Diceros bicornis minor: one gene and its partner. The protein of the gene in region 2 binds, or shares a complex with, the protein of the main gene of each other region. Links are inferred from orthologs where the notes say so. Each region holds a gene or a part of one and is shown on either strand. Other genes may lie near its edges.

Region 1 (3,911 bases), on a different chromosome or scaffold from region 2:
ACGGTGTTTTCAATTTTCTGTTTCTTTTCTAAACTTTCAACAATGAACCCACATTAATTTTGCAATTAAAAAAAGACCTTAAGTTGTTTTTAAAAACCATTATTTGGAAGGCAAGAGGAGAAACTAAATGACATTTTTAAAGACAGACTTTATTTTTTAGAGCAGTTTTAGGTTCACAGAAAAACTGCAGAAGATAGAGCTTTCTCATATACCCTCTACCTCCACACATGCATAGTGTCCCCCTTTATCAATGTCCCCCACAGGGTGCTATATTTGTCACAACTGATGAACATACATTGACACATCATTATCTAAATGGCATTTTATATTTGGGTAAATATTAATCTGTACCCAATGGCTCAAGAAACAGCATACTAAAAAAACACTGATTTGACTCTATTAAAAATTTTCTTGACATATAAGTCAATATCTTTCATATTGACCATATATGATGGACTTTGTTGCAATATCAGGTTACAACAAAAGTAGCACAGAGATATATTAACTAGCACACATTTCTACTGCTAAAATGTACCTATTTCCTTGGCACACGTCTTAATCTTCACGCTTTCTTTTCTTAGATTTAGAACATCAGAGATAAGGGGCAGTGAGAATAAGACCAGAACCCAATATTGTAATTTAGACTGCACTAATACAAGATTTGGGCCACTGCAATTAATGCTCATTTAATGGGGGGGGGGGAAGAAGCCAGATTAGCTGAATGACCGATGTAAGCTTGCAAGGATAAAGACCTAACCAAAACACTGCGGCACTTGAGAAGAATCTATTTACAACAGACTGATATACTTGCAAAGCATTCTTAGTAATTCCTTAAATTTGGCAATGTCTGTTCAGATAATTATTTAAATACGTGGTTTTCTCTTCAAAAAGTGTTCTGGGGGCCGGCCTGGTGGTGTAACGGTTAAGTGCACGTGCTCCGCTTCTGTAGCCTGGGGTTCGCAGGTTCGGATCCCGGGCGTGGCCGAAAAGCACCACTTGTCAAGCCATGCTTTGACGGCGTCCCATATAAAGTAGAGGAAGATAGGCACGGATGTTAGGTCAGGGCCGTCTTCCTCAGCAAAAATAGGAGGATTGGCATCGGATGTCAGCTCAGGGCTGATCTTCCTCACAAAAAAAAAAAAAAAATCTGTAATTTCTAATTTTCACTAATTTAAACTAGCAGTCTTCCAAACTAGTCTAATAGTAACATTTAAAGAAATACGTAGGTTATAGAAGTTTCACCGTGAAAAGAGGCCACGATCTATAACTTACAATGAGACACAAACTCGACTGTACTTTAGAATTATTACAAAACCAAACAGCAACAAACCTTTGGGATAATTGACAACGTATACCAGATTTCCCCAGCCAGCATCAGGGGCATGCAGAATTCCTTCCACCAGCCGGACACCTCTCATACATTGAGACACTGGGTTCCTGTAGCGCAGCCCACATGCTCCCGGAAACTGGGCTGTCACCGTGGACAGCAGCACTGTCCCATCGTCTTCTGATGGTATTTCAATGGGCTCGTCATTCTCATCTTCGGTTACCCGAATATATTCAGACATCTTTTCTTATTTTCCTTAAAGGGAAAGAGATACGAATGACCAACACTTGTGTCAAAATAACTGTTTCCTCATAATCAGCTAATTAACACCACTACCATGTCATTGTTCTATGAGTTACAGAAAAATTCTTGTTTGGATTCTTACACGTGTTGCCTATCCCTGAAAAACGAGGAAGCAAAGGGAAGGATGGCGATTCCTATTAAAATGTGATGCCTTACTAGTTCATTCATTCAAAAAATATTTGCTGAGTGCCTACTATGCATCAGATACTCCAACTATGACCGTGAAAAAAGTCAGTCCCAGGTAGCATGCTGGTTACGAGGAGCAGGGGCGAGGGTAAGGAAAAAAAAAAAAAAAGCAAACAAGTAATGATTTTATTAAAACCGTGATGTATGCTGCCAGAAAGAAGTAATATTCTTGGGGACCGGGGAGAACCTAAGTGGGTGGAGACGTGTGTATGGGTCAAAGCAGTCTGCGCTAAGAAAGCGACGCGGAAGCTGAGTCTCGAGGACTGAACGGGAGTAGTGGGCCAGGTGGAGGGAACCGGGAAAAAGTTCCTCCCTGTGGGACTTCCGCGGGCCTCTCCAAACTTGAGCAAAGGCGACAGGTCCCTCGCGACGCGGGGCGCCACCTCCCAGAAAGCCATGCGTGGCGGCCGAGGGAGGAGTTTGTAAGCGCGGCCCGGGTGGGGCCGCAGGGGCACAAGCCTGAGCTGGCAGTGTCCCCCCGACTGCACGGTACCGAAGGCACAAAGCACTGCTCGGCCCCGGGAGCCAGGTCAGACCTCCGCCTCGGGATGCACGACCCCGCGCAAGGCCCTAAGGACGCTCCCGCGCGAGCCCGCCGGGCCAGGACAAGGCAGGTCCGGCCCCGCGGCTCCTTCCCGGGACGGGGGCCGAAGCCGCCGCGTCCGCCGCAGGCCGTCCCACGGAGGGAGCCAAGGCACCCAGAGCGTCCTCAGTGAGAAGCGTCCGCGACTCACCCGCTAGGCCGCTGCTGGGAAGCCCGACAGGGAAACCGAAGCAGCGAGGGATCCAAGACCAGCCCAGCTACCGCTTGGCTCCCACAAAATGGCGCTAGGGCCGCCTCCTCCCCCCGCCGGCCGTCGTCCTCTCCCACTGGCTCCCCGTCAGGAGGGGGAGGGCGTAGCACGGAGACACAACTACCCTCTCCCTAGCAGGTTAGGACTCCTTCTCGGCAGTCTGAGCCTACAGCACGTGTTAGAAGGCTAACATAACACCAGCGCCTGGGCCTGAAAAGCTAAAAATTGAAACAATGTGGGTGCGTAGGCTTTTAACTCCCCCCACGTAGCTTAACAGATGGTTTCGCCCGACCAACTGCCGGCCCCGGGTCTCGGCCGGAGCTCGCGTACTTTGAAAGTGCGCGAGACTAGATCGGGGCAGGGCTAGGGCGAGTGAGGCGGGGCTAGGCGGGGGCGAGGCGCGGGGCTCCCGGGTCTTCCTGACGTCACGGCTTGGGGGAGCAGGGGAGGCCAGGACCCTTTGTGTAAAAAGCCGGAGTCGTGCGACCTTTCCTCCCTCTCCTAGCTAACCTCCACGCCTGGAAAGAATAACTTTGTTCTAAATAATAGCAATGATAGCGCCTACTATGTACCAGGTGCTAAGTATTCACATATTTAGTTGCCCCGACAGTCTTGTGTGTAGTACTGATCATACCATCCGCATGTACACGTGAGAAGAAAACTGAGGCCCAGAGAGGTTATCTTGCATAAGGTCGCTCAAGTAGTCAGTGGACCTGGGATTTGAACCCTAACCCTAATGCTAGCATAGTCCAGCTCCAGGCTGTAATAATAATGGTGTACTTCATCTATTTTAAGACACGCCTTTTGTTTCACATTTCTGAATTTCAGTGATTTCAGTTCCAGTGCTGTTGGTGATATGACCTAGTTTAATTGGCGACAATCAATTTTTTAGTGTGTCAGTGTATCAGATTCAATGAAATGCAGTAATAGCAAAGTGCTCTATATTTATGCATTAACTCATTTAATCCTCACATCAGCCCTGTAAGGTAGGTGCCATTGTTGTCATTCCTGTGTTATAGATAAGGAAACTGAGGCACAGAGGTTAAGTAACCCTGCCCAAACTCACAGGACTAGTAGATGGTGGAGCTGGGATTTGAACCCAGGCCGTCTGGCTTTGGAGTGGGTGCCTCCTGCTTCTCACAGCCTCCTGGGAATAAATATTAAGTCCTGTAAGTCCATCTCTGATGCCTGCTGTTTATACTAACCAGATTATGCCTGAACCAATTTGGAGAGATAGGGAGCAGGGAGTAGAGGCAGACAGAATGAGTGACCTTGACCCACCCCTAGGGGGAGCCCTTCAC
Region 2 (3,911 bases):
CAATCTTTCTCACCAAAGAAAAAAAAACCACAAATTCCCAGCAAGGAAACTTCAGTTCCTTCATCTTCCCTGAGAGCTTTCCTATCTAGGTATCACTCAAATTCCTGGTGTTCTAGGGGCAATGGCATCAGAGGGTGTTGAAGAGAAAAATGCAGAGAGACCTGAGTCTGTTTGCTTGGCTGTAATTGTGAAACACACACAGGCTCTCCCCTGAGTACCCCCAAAGGACCAAGTCCCAGGAACTGTTTCAGGCTTATGGGGGGAAGATGGCAGCTAAGAGGGAGGAAGAAGGAGGTGATTCCAGGAGAAGAGGGAGCTCCACAAAGGTCCTGGGCCCTCCAAACATCCTCCAGCACTGGGCGTGGATTTCATTTCTACATTCACCTCCTGCATGCACCAGCTTTTTTTTCTCTGTTCTGCAGTGAATTCCCGAGAAGAACCCCCACTAACCTATTCTGGCTCAATTCTCACTCCTATCATCCCAAACTACCCATCCTTCCCCAAATCATGTGACCAAGGCATCTCCAATCCATCTTGGCCTTCTAGGTACAGCAATCAAGATGGGGCCCACGGATCATCCTTGCCCTGGCTACATAAAGGAATCAAAGGGAACTCCACCTTGGCCTCTCAGCCAGTGCCTTCTCCCACTTATCAGTCTGGAATAATTTTTATCTCACTCTCCCCACTTTTTTTTTTTTTGCCTATCCAAACCCAGCCTTCAAGGTCTAATATTTTAACAACAGGGAAATCTTACTTCCCTGGCCTGGCTCTTTCACTCAACTAACATCTTCTGAGCACCTACATGAGGCAAGGCCCATCCTGGGTGCTGTGAGACCTAGAGATGAGTAAGAAACAGCCCCCACTCTCCAGAGACAAAGAACAGGGCAGAGATAAGAAATGTGGCCATACAAATACTACACAAGGAGAGAGCGTCAGTGCCAAAGGAATGGAGGAGGAGGGCTGCGTGGGCTCAGAGCATGTCTTGTCCCTTCCTGCTGGGAGCAGGCACCTCGGTGGCTCCCATGAGGGCGGTGATTAATAGGCAGAAATGGGGGAAGGAGGGCATTTCAGCATGAGCTAAGACAGAGGGACAGGTCAGAAGGGGAGCAGTTCAACTCAGCCAGATCTTCAGCTGCATGAAGGGAGTGGTAGCTATTATTACTATATTATTATTGTTGATACTCACAGATGATTACTTATGCACCAGGCCCTGCTGTAAGCTTTATGTCTAATGTGAGTGACATCTACCTGGGACACACAGGTATGGTGTACCAGTCACCACCTGTTCTGACTGCTCTTTAGTGTCTGAGCTGTAAAGCTGTTAAATATAGTAACGCACTGAATCCTCACAATAACGCTGGGAGGCAGATATTGTTAGTACCCCCATTGTCAAGATGAGGAAACCAAGGCACAGAGACTGGTAAGAGACGAGAGTAGGGAGGGATGCAGGAGCCCGACGTAGTGAGCACCCGATGCCCAGGGCAACAAACTGCCCTGGCACCTCAGCTGGCCTCTCTTGTCAGGGAACTCCTTGTAGCACAGCGAGTGCCCTGAGGCAAGAGCCCATGTTAATCCTCCTGGAATCCCCAACAATGGACTGAAGCAAGGAAGCAATGAAGGAACATAAGGAAAGCCAGGTACCCGTGAGCAAGGTAACACACCCTGCCTGTCCAGCTCGTGGGCTCAGCCTGGCCCTGGCCTGCAAGCTTTGGTTCCTGTTACGTGGGCAGGGCAGAGGTTCACCCCTCACAGCACCACTCCATGCCCAAGGGCAGCAGAGAGCAAAGCAAAGGCTGGGAGGGAGGGCAGAGTGGCTGGCTACCATGGATACCTAGAGTCTGTCCTAAAATACGCCATCTCCATAGAAAGGTCACTGATTAGAGGGGCAGGGACAGAAACGTCCAGGGCAGACTGTTCCTAGCTTGGGCTAGCTCTAGCTAGCTTAACTCCTCTCCAAAGTGTCTAGATGACAAACTTCACAACTCTCCTTTAAGCCAATATGGATTTCTGCCTTTTTAAGCCTTCAGAGGGTTGGGCTGAGAGCCCAGGGGGAGACAAAAGTCCAAGAATCCTTCCCTGAAATTGTAGTTCAAGGCTGAAGAAGGGGGAAAGGCAGAGACGGTAAACACACAGGTGAACACAGCACCAGGGATGGATCCTGCATTCTCTCAAATAAGGTGCCTTACAAATCAACTCCAACACTAGCAGCTCCCAGGAATTTGCGTCCTCCCAGTTCCAGAGGAAGGTTCCTGAAGGCAGCCTCCTCTATTATCTCTCCTCAGCACAAGCCTTTCCCAGAAGGGCGCGCACACTCTCGAGAACTCAGCTGGGTCGGAGGGCCAGGGGCCACCGGCCACCCCCCACACCAGCCAGTCGCCTTCTGCTCGCTTGTTCACCTGGTCCCAAGCCGGCCCGGGCCGCGCTGGACAATCACGTGGCCGTGGACCCCGGGGCCCGGCCTGCGCACCGCCCACCCCACAGGGAGGGCAGCCCCCGCCGCTGGTCTAGCTAGGCAGCCAGGCCGACGCCCGTCCGGGACCAGCGCGACACCCGTCCCCGCCCCCATGCCGTGCAACCAGGAAGCCGCCGGGAGGGGGCGCGGGGCCGTCCGGGCCTCATCTGCGGGGGTCGCGGCGCCCTGCCGCCGTCCCGTCCCGTGCCCCCGGCCGGCTGGGGACCCTCACTCACCTGGCCACTGGACACGGGGGCTGGGGGCCGCGAGGGACGGACGAGGACGCGGGCGGCAGCGGCTCTCTCTGCGGGCGTTCGGGGTGCGGCGCCTTGGGTCGGCCTCGCGCTCTGTCCCACTCCCGTCCTCGGGGCGCTCGGGGCACTCGGGACGCTCCGGACCCGCGGGCGCCGCAGCCGTCAGAGCGGGGCGGGTGGAGGAGCCCGCTGGCCGGAAAACTCGGCGGGCGCGCCCGCTCTAGGCTCCCCGGGGCGGGGCGGGGCGGGGCTGGCCGTGGCCCCGCCCCCAGGTGAGAGCCGGCCCGGGCCAGTGGGCGGGGACCAGCCTCCGCGAGGCGGGGCAAGGAAGCTGCCCGTCTTCCGGCTCCCGCGGCCGGACGGAGGAGGACGCCGCGGAGCCCATACGCCACCCGCCTCTCGCGACCGGTCCCGCCCTGCACCGCGCTAGGGGGAGGAATTCCCCAAGCCCTTTCCGTCCCCTGTACCATTGTTAGTGACTCTTTAAGGTAAAGAAAACTTGCTGCATTAAAAAAAGTCACACAGTGTGGAAATGGGGGTGGGGGTGGGAAGAGTAGCTTTACAGTAGAGAAACCGGACAAACCACCTCAGCCAGGTGATCAAGGTCAACGTGGAATGATAAATCCACAGTGATAGTGTGTCCCCCGTTGTGGTCGTCCTCCCAAGAATACATAATTCCCGTCTGATCGTGAGAAAAACATGAGAGAAATCCCAGTTGAGGGGTATTCTGCAAAATTCCTGACCAGTACTCCTCAAAACTGTCAAGGTCATCAAAAACGAGGAAAATCTGAGACACATACTGTCACAGCCAAGAGAAGCCGAAGGAGATATAAAAATTAAATGTAACGCGGTATCCTGGTGAAAGGACATTAGGTAAAAACTAAGGAAATCTGAATAAAGTATGGATATTAGTTAATAATAATGCATCAGTATTGGCTCATTCATTGTAGCAAAAGCACCATGCTGATATAAGATGTTAATAACAGCAGAAACCAGGGTTTATGAGAACTCTGATTCGCAATTGTTCTGTAAATCTAAAACTATTCTAAAAAATAAAGTTTATTTTTTAAAAAAAGGTCATTCACGTAATATATGAATATATGGTAGTTATAAAAATATATGAATATATGGTAGTTATAAAAGATTTTTTTAAAACTGAGACTGACTTCACTTCCCTAACCCACTTTTAGGTGTGCCCTTCCAGA

What was found.
Region 1: the proteins of ANXA11 (region 2) and TARDBP are in contact, whole or in part, in a cryo-EM structure (PDB 9FOR), measured with the Homo sapiens proteins. The link is inferred for Diceros bicornis minor from reciprocal best matches to the Homo sapiens genes ANXA11 and TARDBP. Residues at the interface, in NP_001148.1 of Homo sapiens: Gly56, Met57, Ala59, Met61, Ser62, Gly63, Phe65, Asn69, Pro71, Asn72, Leu73; in NP_031401.1 of Homo sapiens: Ala328, Leu330, Ser332, Trp334, Gly335, Met337, Gly338, Met339, Ala341, Ser342, Gln343.

The regions. Positions count from the first base shown.
Region 1 is NC_080752.1:30,289,970-30,293,880, reverse strand, and holds the start of TARDBP (TAR DNA-binding protein 43), read right to left. Parts: upstream 2,655-3,911; 5' UTR 2,551-2,654; intron 1,583-2,550; 5' UTR 1,569-1,582; coding exon 1,331-1,568; intron 1-1,330. UniProt on the Homo sapiens protein: RNA-binding protein that is involved in various steps of RNA biogenesis and processing.
Region 2 is NC_080745.1:27,750,407-27,754,317, forward strand, and holds the start of ANXA11 (annexin A11), read right to left. Parts: upstream 2,896-3,911; 5' UTR 2,689-2,895; intron 1-2,688. UniProt on the Homo sapiens protein: Binds specifically to calcyclin in a calcium-dependent manner. Required for midbody formation and completion of the terminal phase of cytokinesis.